3 linked regions of the Caenorhabditis elegans genome follow. The protein of the gene in region 3 interacts with the protein of the main gene of each other region in a pairwise test. Each region holds a gene or a part of one and is shown on either strand. Other genes may lie near its edges.

Region 1 (6,493 bases), on a different chromosome or scaffold from region 3:
AGCAGGTGCTCCAACGAATTTCCGGTCATGTTGAACACCAAGTATCCCGACAAAAGTTGAATAGACAAAATCTTCTCTCCGAGAATGTTCTCGCTGCTCGCCAAATGGGTATTTTCCACAGTTGTGCGGAACGAAAACTCTAGTTCATAGGCAATATTTTCGAATGAAGAAGTTCTGAAATGCTTTTTTCATAAAATATATAGTTAGAGAAAAAGAAAGTACCCAAGGGAGAATTTGGAGCTCTGATGAATATACAAACTTTTCGCCGAAAATGTTGCTGACGTCACCATTTCACACTGTTGTCCAAAGTGGCCTATTTCACATCCACATTGTGCAGTGATATTCACGTTATCATTCACTTGGCTACAAGTTTGACCAGATGGACAGGATACTTTAGAGCATTTCTGAAAATAAGAATGGAATGATTTGTCTACATTTTTTACTTTTTAAAATTTTCTTAAAGTACATATATAATACCAACAATTCTGGAAAACTGTTTGAACTTACTGTCTCAAATTTAATGTAGAACAAAATCAGGGACTAATTTCTTTATGTTACAAAACATAGAAAAGACTAAAAATATAATTTTAGTTTTAGTTTTTTGAATTCAAAAGACACAATTAAATTTCGTAAAACTTCAGCATTCTTCTACACTGTTTTTCATTTAAAAAAAACCTACATCATGTTTCTGATCACATTTTTGTCCAAAATATCCATCATCACAAATGCAAACTGGCCCAGATTCGACGTCAAGACAATTGGATGAGTTGACGCAGTCTTCGCAAGATATTTTCTGAAAAATTTTAATATTGCAAGTATTTATTATGAACGAATTTTGAATAAAAAACTAAAACACTCACACTCTGAGAGAATCCGTCGATTCCAGAAGTTGTAAAAGATGGAAACGTTCCTAATGTGGGAATAGGGGTTGAAGGCTCATCCACCGTTTCGCAGTGGACGCCACCAAAGCCTGATGTGCAATGACAGAAGTATTGTCCATCTGAAAAATTGTAAAACTTTAAAGAGTATCAGTATCAGCACAAAAATTAATTTACAGCTCCCTAAAAAACTCTATTCTTTTTCTTATTACCTGCATCTTGGCAAGTTCCTCCATTTTGACAGGGATTAATTGTGCATCCAGATTTTGGCTCACAGAACGGTCCATCAAACCCTTCTTCACATACACAAAACGGTTCCCCTTCTGCGTCGAGTTTACAGCTTCCACCATTCAAACATCGAATGTCACTGCATGTTGGATGTGACCGATATGAATTACTTATTTCACAATTGGACCCATTGAATCCTTCCGGACACTGGCAGGTAGTTGCGGCTAACGCGAACACACACTTTCCCCCATTCTTACAATCCGATCCATTAACCAGACAATCAACAGGCTCTCCACAATAGATGCCGGTAAAAGAGGGAAGGCAAAAGCAGGTGAAGAGATTCTGCCCGTCGTCGACGCAGTGACCCCCATTAAGACACGGCTCACGATCGCATGGACGAGCTTGCAACTCTTTACAGTCGGCACCCTGCAATTAAACGATAGATTGCGCGAGGGACCCATATCCGAACATGCCCAGATTATTCGTCAAACGTACCATAAACCCCGAAGGACACTCGCATTGCGTTGTCCTTGACGTCCCGTTTACGAGTGAACAAACATGAGCCGGGTTTTCACATATACACTCGTTAACCTGAGAAAAAACACAAGCAATTAACAGTGAGAAAATTGGTGTTACCTCTGCTTTGAGCTCGCAGAATGCACCATCAAACCCGGGAGAGCACTTGCAGGAGAGATCGGAGCCAGTCGAAATGCATTGACCATTGTTGTGACAATAATCAGAAGTGCATTGTTTCTTGTCTTGGATTTCACAGTATTTACCTAGAAGAAATTGTGAAAACATGTTTCTTCTTAGTTTTCTTTTGTTTTTATAAAATAATTTATTCGAATGTAAACTCTCAACAAATCAGCAACGTTAACAAAATTGAGAAAATAATAAGAAAGTTGAAAACTATAAGTATTGCAAAAAAACTGGGTATTTGTCCAAATATCATAATAAAACTTTTTGAACAACCTGAAGAAATGATTTTATTTCGAGCCAAAAGGGATCAACATGACAATGCTTCAGATTTGTCGAAACGTGGCAAAAACATGTATGCGATTTTTGACTCGAGATAAAAAATCCCCGAATTGTTTAGAAAATTTTTTATGACATTTGGTCATTTAGCACCTTATAAATGATTTTTGATCAAATTCACACTAGTCTTATTGAAAAAATCTAACTAAACGTTTTTCAAACTTCAGGTTTTTTTTTCACAATTATGTCTACTGGAAAACTATATTTCATCCTTCCCATCCAAATTTTCAAACCAAAACTCACCAGAAAATCCTTTTAAACATTTGCATTCATAACTTCCTTTCAAATTTTCACAATCTGCTCCATTCTGACAAAAATTTTCTTTGCACTCGTCCTCGTCAGTTTCACAGTGATCTCCAACAAATCCAGGTGGGCAGGCACATTTTACATTTCCCTGAACATTCTATTGGTTTTTATCACTCTGGACTCAAGTCACTCACGTTCTCGGCAACACAAGTGCCGTTATTCTGACAAGTGTGTGTTGCGCAAGACGGCTCGTTGCTCTGGCAAATGTATGATCCGTCGGCTCCTTTTGTGCATCTATAAAAAACATACATGTTTTTGGTTTGCACAAGGTCATGTATACCTTTCGTCATCGCCACATTGCGGTGAGCACTTTTGAGCAGTGTCATCATCAGTAACTAGATTATCACAAAGTGAGCCCATCCATCCTTCGGAGCACTGGCAAGTTTCTTCGCCAAACGTTCCTTTCACGCAGTTACCGTGGAGACAGTGCAAAGAGCAGTTGTCCTGACATAGCAACCCACTGAAACCCTTCGGACATTCACACTGAAACATTCGCGTCTCATCGTTCACTGTGCAAGTTCCGCCGTTAAGACATGTGTTCCGACTGCACGCTCTGTTACATAGTGCTGAAAAGAGTTTTAGTGACAGCTTGTGGTATTCATCTGTCTTAATGATAATGATGGATTACTTTTTGCAAAAAGTCAGTTGGTAGTTTTGTCCAAGTTTTAGATTGGAACTGATCTTTGGAAAACAAAATTTAGAAATTTATTTTGTTTTTTGGTATGAAATATACGAGCTTCATTTAATTTTCAGAGAAAGAAGTCATGTGTTTTATTGAAAAGGTCTGGGCTTCTGAAATAATTGTTAACCGACAAATATGTTAATAGTTATTTGTTTACAATTTTAGTTGAAAATATATAAACGATTACAAAATCAAAGAAGAGATGGGCTGCAAAAATTGAGAGTTTTCAGATACAACAATGCTCAACACTTAAAAGCCCAAAATCAACTTTCTCAAACATATTTTGAATTTAAATTAGATTTTCAGTTTTTGAGATGTTCACTTAAACTTCGTGTTATACATTTCTATCTCTCATCTAGTCTAAACCAAAACTTTTCACACTCAGATCAATCAGTCTGTGAAACCGAATGACATCATATCTTAGTAGTAGACTTACCATTTGTAACCAGGGTACAAAATATGAGAAAATGTTGATATTTCATGAGTGGTAGATCATTGAATGCAGATCCCAAATAGGAGTAATGACGGCAGCTAGTCGAATTGTTTTGTGTTTGGAGGTAAAAAAGGTAGTTTGCCGCTTGACGATTGTTCTTCTGTACCGCACACGCTAGCTGCCGGAGTGACGCGAGAGAGAAAGAGAAGGTCCTAGAGAGCCAGGTGTATTGTCGGATAATAAGCAGGTAATTAGAACGGAAGAGGAAACACGGGCAAGAGAGATGAAGGGGGGGGGGGGGGGAATCTCGTGGTTGCCAGGGGTCAGCTAGCTGCCCTGTGGCATTTCGACGGTAATTTGGAAATAGTAGGGAAAGTTTCAGTTGACCGAGTGATTGAAGATATACAAAATTTTCAAACGTTTATAAAAAGTGAAAACATAGAAATTCAGCGTTTAGTTAAAAAAAAAGGTTTTCGAGAGTATTTGTACAATTTCGACATTTTTTTTGTGCTCGTTTCAGTTTGGCAGCTCATGCTTTTGATTTTACTTTTAATTGTCGTCTGATAAAATATTTCCTACTTTTTTTTATTATCATCTAGTTCCTAATGTACTTGTATGTGTTAATAAAATTAGCTGAAATATGGGGTTTTATCCCATAACAAGCGACAATATTGTTTTATTGTGATTTCAGGAGTTTTTTTATTTAAAAGAAATAAGAATGAACAAGCTTAATTATGCGTAAGTACAAATTCAAAATACTCAAAAAGTGCTGGGTCCACTTGAATTACAGCAAAAAACCCTCAGCAGCTAATTAGTTCCAAACAATTTCCGGCTGTCAACATCTCCAACATCTATATATTTTATGTGTAGTAGGTCGGATATTATACAGACAATTTTCAAATGATGAGACTAGTTTCACCCGGCACGCACACGGAAAAAAGAAGGGGATAGCAAAAAAGTGAAGCGAAAAGGACAGTGTGTTTGTCCTGTTATGCGGAAAAATGAGATTTGCTGGGGTTACCGATATCGAAATACGTTTTTAGAAAATATTTGGATGAAAATTCAAATAAAAATTTCCGAAATAAAAACGGCAAAAGCAAAAAAGTTTAGTAGTTCCGTTTAGACGGGACAAACTTTGCTGAGAAAATTGAGTAGAAATGAAGGCCAAGGCGGAGCACAGTTGACAAATGACCGCGCATTTGGAAATGGCAAACTGTCGGAATTTCATGGAAAAATACCAACAAGTGAATCAATTACATAATTTTAAAAAGTGAAATTCTCAAATGTTTCAAAGATAGTTGGGGAATTTCAAACTACCTCCCAATAATACTCAAGAGACGCAAAGTTTTTGAACTTACTTGTTATGCTATCAGTTATGTTTTTTGGAAATGTTGGAGGTCACAAACCTTAAAATTGATTCTGATATATATTTTTGATTAATCAAAAAATTACAGTTCATTGTGAACATTTTACGCTCAAAAATATGTTGCCAACATTTTCAAAATAGGGAATCTTCTCAAATAACTGAAAAGTTCAAATTTTCAATTCACGGTAACATGATGAAATAAATTTTTAAAAAACAACTTTTAAAAACAACTTTTTTTTCAATTTAATAAAAATTCAGTTGATAAACATTGAATAATTAAACTTAGTTTTTGTGTTGATATTTGTTGAAATGCTAAATTTTTAAAACCAAGAGATTATTTGGATTCAAATTTCAAATTACAAATTGATCTGACGATTTTTTGTCGTTCCTAAAAAAAATGCTAAAATTGTACTTACGGAAAACAACAATTTTGAAAAGCAAAAAAAAATTAGCAACGAAAAAAAATCACCCCTGTGGCTAGCTTCTCGGATCGCGTTCTACTTATGGTATTATCTGGGGACTTTGCATCAGAAAAAAAATACGGCGCAAAAATACGCTAGAGAAGATAAAAATGTATGTGTGCATGATACATCTCGTCGCCTAATTGTCTATCTCTAAACACCTTTTTTTTGAATATGCCGCAAATATGTAGTGGTCAGTCAGTCAATAAAAAACACGCATATAGACAAAACAAAACGATTGCGCGCGCGCGGGGTCGTAAGGTCATGGAAAAGAGCATGGTATTGATAACAGTGCACACATAACCCCAGGTCTTACAAAAAGAGTTTTTGGAAAGAATAGAATTGTGCAGCAAATGACAGAAAAGGACGGAGGGACACTTGATGGACTGCTGAGGAAAAAAAGGTGCGTGGACGACCGGAATATAGGGTGTATTAAGAGTGAAGGGACACATGTATTTGTTTCGAGGCATTTCCGGTTATGGCGAGAAGAAGGGATATGAACAAGATAATTGAAGACAAATAGTCCGTGATGATTTGTTGACTAACAGTGAGACAATTATTTTCGAATCAAGGTTTTGAATACTAATTATGTAGATCGAGCTAGAAAATTTATTAAAAAATTCTGACTATTTTTCCTGTACTAATAAAACTTCACTAAGTACCTTACGTTTTCAAACACAAAACCTTATAAAAATAACTTATTAATTTAGAACAGTTGTACGTAATAATGCAAAAACCATTACAATTATTTTACAGAGCCTTTTGCAATTTTAGGAATCTAGTAGTATACATAGTAGTTGTATCAAAAACTTAGAATTACACAATCCAGAAATAGAACTAAGCAGCAGGCCCAATCACTGCAAATGACACTTAATTACAATGTAAAAAGTATCAACAAGCAGGGGCAAAGAGTTGAGAGCAAACTAAGATTGAATACCTAAAAGAGACTCATCAACTATCGAACGATCTCCAAAAGCACAGAAACAACACTTGAGTTGGTTGGAAGGAGGGGGGATATGACTTTGTTTGGGCAAGCGCTAGGCTCTCCCCCTCACCATCTTGGGCTCCCAGAGCACACCCCATCGGAAACCGTCTGAGCCACTT
Region 2 (7,913 bases), on a different chromosome or scaffold from region 3:
TTTTACGTTATCGATTTTTAAAAATATTGATTTTCTATGAATTATCGATTTTTTCACAAAATATCGATTTTCTATAGATTATCGATTTTTTAAATACCGATTTTTTATAAAAGTTCGATTGTTCGCAAAATATAGATTTTTTATAGATTATCGATTTTTTTTACAAAATATTGTTTTTTATAAATTATCGATTTTTTTTATTAGTGATTTTCAATAAATTATCGATTTTTCAAACATTGATTTTCTATAGATTATCGATTTTTAAAATATTGATTTTTTTTACAAAATATCGATTTTCTATAGATTATCGATTTTTTTCTAAATATTGATTTTCTATAAACTATCGATTTTATTAAAATTATTGATTTTCCATAGATTATCGATATATACATTTTTAATTTATCGATTTTCTCCCCACTATTGTGCAAAATATTCCTCCCAAGAAATCTTCAAATATTTCCAGAAAAACGCGAAAATCGTCTACTGGACAATGCTCGGAATTTGGACGATTTGTCTGGTTTTATTCGTTCTCGTTTACTTCAGTATTTTCCCGCTTTAAATAAAACAGTTTGGGTGGAAAATGAATAAAGATATTGGATTTTTCGTTCGATTTTGTGTTGTTCTTCAAAATATAGATTTTCAATAAAAACTATTGATTTTTCAACAAAAAATAATATTGATTTTCTTTCAGTGTTCGATTTTTCAGGAATACAATTATCGATTTATTTTAAATTATTGATTTTTCATAGATTATCGATTATTTTTTAAATATTGAAAAAAAATGATCGATTTTCAAACATTGAGCCATAATGAATTTTTGATTTTTTAAATATTGATTTTTCATAGATTATCGATTTTTTTTTAAATATTGATTTTCTAAAATTATCAATTTTTAAAAATACTGGTTTTATAAGATTTATCAATTAAAAAACTGATTCGTAGCAAATTAACAATGTTTCAAAAATAGAGATTTTTTTATAAACAATCGATTTTTTAATTATTGATTTTCTATAAACTATCGATTTTTTGAAAATATCAATTTTCAAAAAAATGATCGATTTTTAGAATATTGATTTTTCGAATATTACTGACTTTCTATTAATTATCGATTTTTCAGAAATATTGATTTTGAATAAATTATTGATTTTTTAATATTTCGATTTTCTTTCAAAAATTTCAAAAAAAAAAAATTAAAGCCATTTATTATCGATTTGACAGGATTGGACAGTAAGGAAAAATATGAACATTAGTAGGCATCTCTGGATGTGCCAAATGAATACAACCCGTGTGAGTAGGTCAAAAAACTGACAGGAAAAGTCGAGAAAAGTAAACGTTTTGAAAAAAATGAAATTGATTGGAAAAAAAAAACGTAGAAGTTTGCCCGTATCGTAATAGATTAGAAGAACGATGGAGGACTGGAATCAAGCAGTTTCCTGTTGTTGACACGTGTCACAGGAATCGATTTTCTCGTCGAACGGCTCCACTTGGACAGTGGCGACGGCAACTCCGAATCGCCGGCGGATCAGGGAACGGGCTTCGGCAACATTTTCCATGGCGCGGTTAGGAGATTCTGGAATATTGGAAGAGTTAGAAAAATATATTTTTATTAAATATTAAAATTCAATATCATGAAAGGCAGCACTTTTCCCTTGCAGAACATTCCAGGAAATTTCCAGAAAACTTTGAATTTCCCGCCAAAATTGTTTCTCAAAAAATTTGAATTTCCCTTCAAAATTCTCATTTAAAAATTTGAATTTCCCACCAAAAATCATTGGAAAAAATTGAATTTTTTTGCCAATTTTTTTAGAGCACATCTGAATTTTTTTTCAAAAGTTTCATTTAAAAAATTTGAATTTCTCGCCAAAACTGTTATTGAAAATTTTGAATTTATCTTCAAAACTTCAATAGCACGTGGTGTCAGGCTGTCTCATTGCGGCTTGATCTACTACAAATGCGGGAATATTTTTACAGAAAAATTGTCAGCACGCTCTTAACCATGCGAAGTCAGATGAGATGTATGCGTCTCAACTCCCGCATTTTTTGAAGATCAAATCGAAATAAGACATTCTGACCCCACGTGCAACAGAGAGACAATTTGAATTTCCTGCCAAAAAATTTTTAAAGGAAAACTCGATTTCCCGGCAAATTTTTCGAAAGAAAATTGTTTGAATTCCCGCCAAAAATTTTATAGCCAAAGTTTGAATTTGCCGCCAAAACTAACAGTTTAAAATTTTGAATTTCCCGCCAAAATTCCTATAAAAAATGTTCGAATTTCCCGTTAAAAATTATTCTCAGAAGATTTAAATTTCCTCCAAAATCTTTATATCAAAACTTTGAATTTCCCGCCAAAAATTATTCAGAAAATTTAAATTTCATTCAAAGTTTTTCAGAGAAAATTTGAAATTTTTAAAATCCAATTTTTGCTCTAAATTGAATTTCCCTTCAAAATTTTCATTTAAAATTTTGAATTTCCGGCCAAAAATTGATTGAATAAATTTGCATTTATATCCACAATATATATTTAAATTATTTGAATTTCCCGGTAGAAACTTCAATGGAAAAATTTGAATTCCCCGCCAAAATTATTTTTTAAAAATTTGAAATTCCCGGCAAACATTTTTAAAAGTAAATTTGAATTCCCGCCAAAATAACTATTGAAAAATTTGAATTCCCGCCAAAATCTTTATTGAAAAATTTCAATTTTCCGCCAAAATTTTCTCAGTTTTACTCAAAACTCCAAAATGAGAAGCCACTCACCAAGTGCCAAATGCACCGAAAACGCAGTCTTATCCATTCCAATAGACCATAAATGCAAATCATGAACACCTTTTACACCTTCCAACGCACTCAACGCCTTCTTCACATCACTCAAGTCATAGTGGCTCGGTGTGGCTTCCATCAAAACGAAAAAGATGTCCCGCATAACTGTAACCGTCGTGAAGAGCACGATAATCGAGAAAAGGAATGTGCAAATCGGATCGGCAAGTGTCCATCCGGTAAACCTAATGATAAGGGCAGCAATCAGGACTCCAATGGATTGCACCAAATCTCCAATGACATGAATCAGAGCAGCTCTAACATTCACATTCTTTCCATCATGAGCATGTCCATGACTTGAGTGTCCTCCATGAGTGTGCCCATGACCTCCAGTTCCGAAGTGCAACACCAATCCCATAACGATATTAAAAAGGACTCCGACGCCCGCGGTGATGAGCATCACATCAGCATCCACCTCATGCTCATTGTTCACAATTCGCTGAATAGCGACGACGACGAGCACTGTCGTGAGCACCCAGAGAATGATCACAGACGTCAGAGCACCAAGAACTTCGGCTCGCTCGTAACCGAATGAAAGACGCTTCGATGCGGGAAGACGTGCACAACGAATCGCAAAAATTGAGATGATGAATGAGAGAAGATCACTGAGCATGTGTCCGGCGTCTGTCATAATTGCTAGCGATTGAGCCCAGAATCCACCGACGAACTCGGCGGCGATGAAGACTGCGGATAGTGCTGCAACTGCCCATAGCACTTTTTCTGCTCGGCGACCCTGGAAACGAGAAATATTAGTTGGAAAATCCAAACAAAAAATTTTATGTCCATTTTTTTTTTGGCGAAAAAATGTTTTTTTTTAAAGTTATACACTGTGTTTTTAAAAAAATTACTACTAAAATTGTGCGGTAACACTGAATTCTGAGAATGCATGTGGTGCCAGGCTGTCTGTCCCATTACGGTTTGATCTACAAAAAATGCGGGAATATTTTGCCCAAAAAATGTGACGTCAGCACGAACTCTGCGTCTCTTCTCCCGCATTTTTTGTAGATCTACGTAGATAAAGCCGAAATGAGACATTCTGACATCACGTGAGACTGCGTATTGCACAACATATCTGACGCGCAAAATATCTCGTAGTAATTCAGTAATTCAATAAATTACTACTTTAGCGCAGTTTTTCTTTGCTTTTTCGTATTATCTTTGTTTTCATTCTTTGCTTAATTTTGATATTATATCGATAAATCTATGAACATAGAGCCGCGTAAATCGACACTACAGTAGTCATTCAAAGAATTACTGTAGTTTTCGCGTCGAAATATTTTGCGCGTCAAATAATGTTTTGATTTTTTCAGAAAAATATTCAAATGTATAAATTCTTGTCATATTTTTTGCGTTTTTTTTTCGCATTTTTGTCAAAAAAACGTCCCGCTAACTGAAAAATGCCTTGATTTTTATATATTTCAAATAAAATTGCAATTTTTCAAGAACATTTTCAGGGAAACTAATTTAAATTTGGAAAAAAAATCAGTTATTGAAATTTTCGACACTTTTCCAATATTTTTCAACATTTTAGGATGAAATATTCAATTCACAGGAAGTCGTCGTATTGCTAGATATTTGTGGGCGGCAAACGATTTTTTCCGGCAAATCGCCAAATTGCCGGAATTGAAAATTTTTGGCAAATCGGCAAATCGACAAATTGCCGGAATTGAAATTTCCGGCAAATCGACAAATTGCCGGAATTGAAAATTTCCGGCAAATCGACAAATTGCCGAAATTGAACATTTCTGGCAAATCGACAAATTGCCGGCAAATCGGCAAATCGACAAATTGCCGGAATTGAAAATTGCCGGCAAATCGGCGAATTGCCGGAATTGGAAATTTCCGACAAATCGTCAAATTACCGGAATTGAAAATTTCCGGCAAATCGGCAAATTGCCGGAGTTGAAAATTTCCTCTGATATGTATAATTGCGAGCTCGTGTTTTGGCTTGATTTTAAAAAAAACACATTTTTATGCTAAAATGGTCGATTTTGGGCTTTTTACATAGATAGCAATAATTAAAATTAAAAGCAACATTTTTTGAAAAATTTAGTTTTAATATAATGGTCATTTTAATAGAGGTAAAAGTTGAGCCATGTTGCAAAAAAATTTGCTATGTACCTTTTGATATTTCTCATCATGACTATGCTTATGCGCTCCTCCTCCTGCTCCACTACAATCCGAAGAGGAATCATCATTATTGTGTGTGTGTGAGTGCCCATGACCCCCATGAGAGTGCCCATGCCCATGACCGTGATGATGGTGGTCAATAGAGTCGGCAGATACTCCAGAATCCGAAGAGGACACCGACTGGGTGTCCTCTTCGATGTTGGCGGGCAGGTTGGATGAGGAAGAGTCACGTTTGTCACTGGATAGGCGGATTGATGACGGAGATATCATTGAGATTGTCATAGTTCTAGAGATTTCAAAAAATATATTTAACGGGAATTAAGAGAAATGAGTACGGCACGTGTATGTGTGTCAGGCTGTCCCATCAAGGTTTGATCTACCAAAAATTCCCGCAATTTTTGTAGATTTTCGTAGATCAAAACGACGTGGGACACTCTGACAAGAGCAGCGAAATTTCAAAATGAAAAACTTAGTTACTTAGTTCCGCGATTTTTTTTGTTGTCCCCTTTCAAAGAACAACACAAAGACTGGGGAGCGGTGGAATGCGTTTTGACAAACAAATAAACAAGACAAAAATGGGGTGAAAAAAGAGAATAAGGAACACAATAAACAGGAGAATAGGAAAAGGAAATGGAGAACAAAATTGAATATGGGAAAACGTTCTGGCTGATAGGAAAAAAAGGAAAAAAATTGAGTGGGAAGGAAGGTCGCAAGATTTTTTTATGCAAATTTTTAAAAATCAAAGATCTTTCGAGTCATGCAGGAATTTGTTTTTTTTTTGGATATGAAGCTCCAAGAGCTCCGCGAGCCAGCTTACTTTTGGACGTATTTCAATAGAAATACATTTTTTTCTAAAATTAGATTCTTATGAAAAAGTTAGTACTTTGAATTGAAAAATTCGAAGGTTTTCAGTGCATTTTTTAAAGTTTCAAAGCCAGTGAAATTTCGTGAATATTTTCAAAATCTGTATTTTTTTGGATTTTTTTCCAAAAAATTTTTTTTTAATTTTCAGTTATTTTTCAAAAAATACCGACTTAAATGCCAGATTTTTTTTCTTCAAATTTCATCGTTTAATTCAAAAAAAATCCGGCAATTTTTAGATTAAAAAGAATAGAAAAAAAAATATTTTTTGCCTTAAAAAAGTTTAGAAAATTTTCAAAAAATCGAAAAATTTTATATTTTATTTTTCAAAAATACAATTTCTGAAAAAAACCTCAAGTGGTTCTTAAATTAGGTAAACATTTAATTTTAAGCTTCTACAACTTTTATGAAAAAAATTTTGACATAAAATTTTCAAAAAAAAATCAGTTTTAACAAGATAAAAAGAAATTAGCTTGAAAACTCCGCTTTGCACAAATTTTTAAGTTTTTTGGAAAAAAATTCCAGGAAAAAGTTATATGAAAAACCAAAAAATTCATGCCAAAAGTTCAAAAAAGCAAAAAAGCAAACAAATTCTTACAAAAAATTGGAAACTTTTCAACAGAAAAAAAAACTTCAAAAAAAATTCTTATTGCTTTCTGCAAAGCAATAAGAATTGCAAGACTGAAAATGTGAGGCATTCAAAAAAAATTCACAAGCGCATAATAAGAAACACGAGGAGAGAGATTATAGATAGTCAATGAAGGAAAAGCAGAAGAAGAACCAGATTGTATTTCCTGCCATCAAGCATCTATCTATCTAGCAAAAACGAGAGACTTGCAAGTGAAAAGTGAAGGAAAAAAAAAACGATTTTGATCTACCTCCCTGTAAACGAGGCGAAAGTGTAAAAATTATTGTTAAGCTACTGGGAATTTAATTAATTTTAATTTACAGACTTTGGCAGACTTCTAGAAAATAAAAAGGTGAAACAAAACTTTGGTCAAGATCGTTTGATGTGCCGTTTATGTAGGCGAGAGATGGACATAAGACTGCCTCTAAATGGTCTTCTGAATTCAAAAAGACACAAATTCTATGTCTTGAACTTCAAAAAATAAGTTGAGAAAATGTAAAGATCAAGTATTTTGTGTTTTCATCCATCAAAAATCCTTCAAAAATCTCAGAAAAAAGTTGTTGAAAATTTGAATTTTTTGGGGTCGAATTTCCGGTATTCTCTACTTTTTGGCTACATTATTATTTTTTCGACAAACTCCCAGAAAAGTTGTGGAAACTAGGGAGGAACTACAAAAAAAAAGGTACAAATTTTCAGGGCTTGAATTGAACTTTTTCAAACTAGTTGGGGAAAGAAGGAGTCAACAAAATAATTAGTGATTTTTTAGAACTCATCAGAATTTTTACAAAAACATTTTACTTAGGCTTAAGATGAGGCTAATGCTTAGGCTTAGGCGTAGGCCTAGGCTTAGGCTTAAGCTTCAAATTAATTTGTGTTCAAAAATTGTGATCTACAAGATTCTTAGGAAAAAAATAAGAATCCTTTAAAAAAATCATCTTCTGATCGCTTGATCTCTGATTTTAATACAATTTATATATAAAAAAAATATTATTAGATGCCCTTTAAAAGGCTCATGTGATAACATAAGTAGCAACAATATCACGTGGAAAAATATTAGGTAATTTAAAAATATTTTCTAGAGAACTGAAGAAAGCAATAAAAGTGCAGAAAATGTGAAACGGAAATTGTTTCGAAAAAAGACAAAAAAAGAAAGAAAAAAAGGAGGCCGAGATGATTTACACACCTCCCACACATATGAGAAACTAGTTTTTTTTTGTTGGAAAAATGATAGAGTTGAGACAAAAAAAAAGAGAGATCAAGTAAAGTGAAAAGGACGTAATGTGAACCGAACTCTTTATCAGTATAGGTGTCTTAAAAAAGTGTCAGCATTTTCGTGATTAAATGTCGGGGCTTTTTCATAAAATTTATATACATGTCGACGGAGGAGGAGGAGGAGTGAAAGTGTGATAAGGGGGAGACGTCATTCTAGTTTGTGATACAGTTTCGTGAAATGTATTCCGGAGAAGTACTGCAATTA
Region 3 (6,353 bases):
CCCCTGCCCCCGATGACTCTTGTGTTGTAATCAACACAATGAACACAGATTCTCTTGTTTTATTCATTTTTTTCCAGAAATTTCTAGTCTATTTTCCATTCACTTTTTTTTTGTCCAAGGGTTTCACACTTTGTCCATCATGAGGTCACTCTATAGGGTTAGTAGGAGAGAGATTTAGAGCGTTAGAGATACATTTTCTCGGTCTCTTTCATTCGTTTTTTTTTTTTCATTTTTTCTCCCCACTTTTTTCATTCTCCATGTCTCTAATTTTTGAATCTCTACTTTTCAACCAAAAGTTTAAAGGAAAAATTAAACGGTTATAATTTAAAAAAACATGAAAACGATGAAAATAAAATTTCTACTTTGGTTAATTACTCCAAAATCTGGCAAATTTTAAGTTCAATTTTTTTCAAAATTGAATTTCTATACAAAAGTGTTCAGTTTACAACTTGGTTGCTGAAAATCTGAAAACGAAAGCTTTGAAGTTTTTTTGATAAAATTTTGATTCGAATTTTACTAAATATGTTGGTATTTGATTATTTTAGCATGATTCAAAATATATAGACGTTGGAATAATTTATCACAAAATGAATTTGATCCGATAGTTTGAAAAAATAAATTTTATTCGAAAAAATTTGTACAGAAAAACTTATCACTTCGTAAGTTCAAAAATTCCTGCCTGCCTACAAGGCGAGCCTTGATTGGGCCTACATGGCGTACCTACGGCCAAAAATTTGCGAAGTGTAATAAAATTTCAAATCTTAAAATTAAATAAGAAGTTCGAACACCAAGCACCCAAGGAGGTATGCCAAAATACAAAAATAATAGGCGATAGGTAGGCACGTAGGCAAGTAACTAGGCATGAGTCAGCTCACCAAAAAATGTGTCTGTGTTCTATAAAATCCCCTACATTTCAAAATGTTTCAAACTTTCCAAGTACCAAAATTTGGCAAAAATCCCCCTCTTCTCTAGTATCTGCTCAATTTGCAGTAAACTTTAGAATTTCCGATTCCAAAACTTTTTCCCACATCTCCCAAAACCTAGAACTGCTGCTTCCAAAAAAAGTCACGTAATTTCCCAAAAAAAACTTGTTATGAACCCAATAACTACCACAATTTAAATGCTCCAAATGCACGAAATACCATAAACATTTACCCTCTCCACTTCTACTCGATTTACCAAATATACATCCGCTTTTTCGTCGGCCACGCACTTGGCTCAACCATTTATCGTTCTGCGTTTCTCTCTCTTTTTCTCAACTTCCGTTCATTTTTCTTCTTCTTCTTGAAAAGTCAAAAAAAGACACCCAGAGATGAATGTCTCCAGTTTTATTGCCTACTTACTTGCCGCTTTTTGTCGGATCACATTCCGTTTTTTTATTGTTGCGCGTCGAATGTGTGCGGTCTGGATGAAATTATTCAGGAGCTCTTAGTTCGCTTTATTCATAAAAAAGTCTCAGTGGAGCAAAAAAAGCGTACTCTTGCAGACGCCATGTTTGAAATTTTTAGAAGGTGCGCGTGCTAGCTGTTCAATTTTTTTGCATAACTTTTGCACTTAACCATAACTATTGAAACTACAGCGTCCATATTTCGTTAGTTTTTGATTTTACTAAAAAGTTGTAAACTGACAAAACATTTATCGTGACTAACTCTACAAATTTGCAGTTAAATTTTTTTTTTTGATATCTATGAGAATCTGCTAAAGTTGTGCCAATTTATTTCTAGAAAACGAAAACTTATATTTTTGCTCTCAGTATTGTAAACTATTAATTGAATGTACTTACGCTAAACGTTTTCACAGTCAATCTATTAAATTGCCTCTTTGTGTCCACATACTGTTCCATTTACCCCCCCCCCCCCCCCCACCTTCCTTTCCCATTTCTTTCATCGCCGCCTATGTACCAAAACATAACTCTTTTCTTCTTCGTCGTCGCCTGCCAATTGCCTTTGACACTGCCCCGAATCACCAAAAAGTTATTTTTCATTGTTTCATTTTTACTCGACCAGTCTGAGTCTCATCTTCTCTACTCGTGTACCTTTTTTGGCCTTGTTGTCTGTTGGTGAGGGAAATCTCAAAATTGTAGGTAGTTTGGTTATTTTCTTTTTGGGGTTTTAAAAAGGATTCTTGCGTGGAGAGCTTCAATAGTTTTAGTTTATACTCCTTGAGGGACTCCATAAATTTTTTTTTAATTTGGAATGTTACTTTCTAAAAAGTATTTTTTTAGTTTTGTGTTTTAGTTTAATACAATTCGTTTTATGAATTGATCTAAACCAAAAAAAAACACAAGAAAACCAAAAAAATTGAATACGTTAAAAATACTTGCATTTAAAATTCCAAAAGTAATTTTTAAAAAAGGTGTAAAATTAATAAATCGCTGAGTTTTACAGTTAGTTTTTGCTCGGTTACCTTTTCCGGTAAAAGCGAAAAATGGATTTTTTTTTTGCTAGCTTCTTTCTGAGAAAAATCTCATAAAAAAGAGCAAACTTGTTTTTTGACTTCGTCTTCCTGCTCCTTCTTCCCTTCCCCCAACGCCTCATACTTTATAAATCTTGTGTGTTCGTGTTCGTGTTCACATTTCCTCTTTGTCAGTTTAATTTTGTTTATTGCATTTGGCTCATCGCCATCTTTCCTTCTCTTTTCCAAATGTCTTACTTTCTTCTTTTCTCTCTCTATTGCCATTTGAACATCTACAATATATTGGGTCATCTGAACCGAAACGAAATGGCAATTAGACAGAAGGGGGTTCTTGAATTAAAATCACATTGATTTCTCGTAATCGTTTTACTTTTTGACTTTTGAACTTGTCTCCCTTTTTTCCTTTTTCATCTTTTTTTGCTAATTTCAGTCAAAACCTGTACCTCTCGACTCTCCATGAAGGTGCTGCACACATTCCGATGCTCTCCGCCCGTTATTTAGTTATTCTTCTTGTTGCCCTTCAGGGTTTCAGCCTCGTTCAGTCAGATGAGACGTCAGCGGAGGGTGAGCTTTTTTCCTACGGTACTCGATCCAGTCACGAAATTTTTTTTTGTTAAATGTAAAGTGTGGGCGCCAGTAATTTTCAAAGACGTTGATTTTTTTTAATCTAAAAATGTGTTGAAAAATCAATGAAGTTTTGTAGAAACAAGTGGTTGGAAATTACAGTAATCTTCAAAGGCACACACCTTCTTACGCTTAACGAAGTATTTTTGTACTAAGACCGGATACTGTATATTTTCAAAATTCGGAAAATTTTGCCATGTCAGTGTAGTAAAATTTACTCGTGAAGTGTGTAAATGCATCGAGAATTTTCAAATAGTTTGAAAAAATTTTATTCTAAAGCCGTATAAATTTGGAAAAATAGCAAATTGCCTGTATTTTTTTTACTTTTCGGAATCAAAAAACCTTTTTCAGAAACCCAACCCCACTACCCAGAATGTGTTGCACCGATGCGAGAATGCGATGCAAAATCGCCGGGCGGTCCAAAATGCTATCCGGAACAGTGGTATTGTGACGGGTTTCCAGATTGTCAGGACAGTTCAGATGAGCCTTCCACGTGTAGTGAGTTGCTATTTTAATTTTTCTATTGTCTTTTTGAGAACATATTTCAACCACAAAATTCGTTTAATTATTCCAATTTCAGAACGAACGTGTCTAGAAAACGAGTTTGTGTGCAAAACGGGTAAATGTCTGCCACGTGGCTATTTGTGTGATTCGCAATACGACTGTGGACGTCTTCCAAACGGAGACCGCGACCTTTCTGATGAAGCTCCTGAACTTTGTAAGTCTTTGAAAATTTTATTTTCGTGGCGCTTCATGTCTAAACTTTCCAGGCAATCAACCACTACACTGTGATTACAACGAGTACGCGTGTTCAAAATCCGCACAATGCGTGCCTCTCTTCAAATTCTGTGATGGTAAACGCGACTGTTCGGATGGCTCGGATGAGCATTCGATGTGCCACGTGGAAGATCCAAAGACAGCCGACAGTTGTGAGTATGGAGCAGCAATGACGATTGATGGAATCAAGTGTTACTGTCCGAAGAACAAGTTTTTGAATGAGCAAGGAAAATGTGAATTTGTAAATCATTGTGAACGAACCAAAAATGGTGAGTTTTTTTTTAAGTATGAAAAAATATTCAACAGTTTTACGTTTCCTACGTTTTAAAAAGGTAAAGCTCAAATTGTTAGGATGAACTTTAAAATAGCCCCTGAATGAATTTAAAAAAAAATTTTGCTTTAAATTTTTTCAACGTTTTTTTATTTAGAAAAAAGAAAAAAAACGGGCGAAGTTTGAAAAAAAAATCGATGAGAAATCGACAAAAACGTCTAAGAATAAGACAAAGCAACAACATGGGAAATAAATGTTTAAAAAACTTCAGAAAGTGAAAAGTAGACTTTCAGGACTTCCCCCTGTATGCAGTCAAGATTGCACTGACAACAAGAACGGTACTTTCACGTGTTCCTGCTTCGATCCCAGGCTCACAGTTGTCAATGGAACGCATTGTGTGGCTGATAAAGATCGTGAGTTTAAAATTTTTTTGATGAACACTTTTATTTCAAAAAAAAAAAAACAAAAAACTTATTTCAGAAACCATCCCCAGTGTAGCAATTCTCACCAAGAAAAAGCTCTTTGTGCTTCAGAAAAACAAGATGTCTAGCTATTCAAGCATGCCTCGACCACTAGGAAAACCCGGAGCAATGACTCTTGTCATCCAGCATCCTGACTTCCCGGAGGCCACTGTTCCAATACTCTGTCTCTCCGAATCTCCATCGGCAAATGATAGTTATATCACATGCGGAAATGTTGAAGGCTCCGAACCTGCAACCAAGACTTATGCAATTGATTTTGATTTGTCTTCTATTCACATCATACGATTCGATAATATTGGTAACAACTGGATTTTTACGGATGCTTCTTATTATGTATTCATTTGCAAGCATAATAGTGTACGAATATCGTCCTGTCGAACTGTTACCGCAGGTGATATGGGAACAATTCAAGATATGAAGTATGATGGATTGAACGGACAGCTTTTGGTATCTGAAGTTGATGTTTTACAACAAGGAATATGGAGAATCGATGTAGCATCTGGTCAACGATACCGACTATCCTATCAACCGATTACTTCTCCTGCACTTGCAATTGACCCATTCACCGAGACATTATACTTTGTGGATATTGGCGCACGATCCATCAAAGCCGTTGACTATAATGCAAACTACTCAAGAACTATTGTTAGTGGCCGAATTGCGAAAGAAGTTAAAATGATTGATTACGCAGAGGGTCGGTTGTTTCTGACACTGAAAGACAATCGAGTATTTGCAATGAATGCATTGGATTCGAATTCTGATATGAAGATTTGGCAGGAAGTGACACCTCAGAGAAAACAAGGGAACGAGAATATTCAGATCCTTGAAGTTTTGCACTTTCGACGAAATGAGCATGCATGGAAGAACAAGGGAAAGAATATTTGCAAAGCGGCAATGTGTGATGATATGTGTATAGGGCATATCAATCAAACTTCGTCGTGTTTTTGTAGAGATGGGTACATTCAGAATAACACAAAATGTTCCGCCTCGAAAGATCTTAAAGATGAAGAATTATTTGTTCTTGCTCAGTTAAGACCTTCGAGGATCAAGATCCTTGGATTCGACAAGAACTATCGGACAGAGATCATCGGAGTCTCAGATCTTCTGAATGTCAAACGTCCGAGTGCAATGACTTTTGATCCAAAAGGAGAACAACTTCTGATGTATGATTTGAGAAGGCATTCACTTGTAGTGCAAAAGATTGGATCCACAAATTACACAGTTCACGGACTTACTGGAATCATGAACTGTGAAGGAATGGCTTATGATTTTACATCGGATAACCTCTACATGACTGATCAACGACGAAAGATAATTACGGTTCAAAGACTTTCAAATCTTTCCATCCAAAAAGTAGTTGTTAGTGGGAATATGAGCAATCCAAGAGCCATCGCCATCCACATTGCAAAGAGCTATCTTTTTTGGGGAAGTTGGAATGAGGACAATAATGACGATGAGAAGATCCCTGCAATGATTGAACGATCGAAACTTGACGGAAGTGAACGAAAAACGTTAGTCTCGAAGAACGCAATGTGGATTAATGGATTGACTTTGGATCTTAAAAATGATTACTTGTACTGGTGTGATGCATACCGAAATGTTATTGAAAGGATTCGTTGGAATGGAGCTGATCGAGAAGTTGTTGTTCATGGCGCTGACAAGATCTCTCATCCTTATGGGCTCGCTTTTTTCGACAATCACATTTTCTATACGGAATTCAAGAAAGGAGCTGTTAAACGAGTCAATGTAGATTTTCCAGACGACGTGCAGGAAGTCTTTCAGTA

What was found.
Region 1: the proteins of lrp-2 (region 3) and crb-1 interact in a two-hybrid assay, tested with the Caenorhabditis elegans proteins (one large-scale study listed by BioGRID).
Region 2: the proteins of lrp-2 (region 3) and ttm-1 interact in a two-hybrid assay, tested with the Caenorhabditis elegans proteins (one large-scale study listed by BioGRID).

The regions. Positions count from the first base shown.
Region 1 is NC_003284.9:17,410,239-17,416,731, forward strand, and holds the start of crb-1 (uncharacterized protein), read right to left. Parts: upstream 3,777-6,493; 5' UTR 3,612-3,776; coding exon 3,566-3,611; exon of another isoform or gene 3,454-3,565; intron 3,014-3,453; coding exon 2,728-3,013; intron 2,682-2,727; coding exon 2,582-2,681; intron 2,536-2,581; coding exon 2,385-2,535; intron 1,886-2,384; coding exon 1,743-1,885; intron 1,698-1,742; coding exon 1,602-1,697; intron 1,533-1,601; coding exon 1,091-1,532; intron 1,001-1,090; coding exon 861-1,000; intron 794-860; coding exon 680-793; intron 405-679; coding exon 223-404; intron 175-222; coding exon 1-174.
Region 2 is NC_003281.10:12,951,784-12,959,696, forward strand, and holds ttm-1 (Zinc transporter ttm-1), read right to left. Parts: upstream 5,389-7,913; 5' UTR 5,230-5,388; coding exon 4,939-5,229; intron 3,551-4,938; coding exon 2,758-3,550; intron 1,571-2,757; coding exon 1,422-1,570; 3' UTR 1,186-1,421; downstream 1-1,185. Other genes in the region: Y39E4A.1 (uncharacterized protein), read left to right, coding at 464-559. UniProt on the Caenorhabditis elegans protein: Promotes excretion of zinc from intestinal cells into the intestinal lumen in response to increased dietary zinc. Involved in cadmium resistance, possibly by promoting its transport from cells.
Region 3 is NC_003279.8:3,950,484-3,956,836, reverse strand, and holds the start of lrp-2 (EGF-like domain-containing protein), read left to right. Parts: upstream 1-2,845; 5' UTR 2,846-2,894; coding exon 2,895-2,979; intron 2,980-3,390; coding exon 3,391-3,537; intron 3,538-3,619; coding exon 3,620-3,757; intron 3,758-3,809; coding exon 3,810-4,085; intron 4,086-4,380; coding exon 4,381-4,500; intron 4,501-4,567; coding exon 4,568-6,353.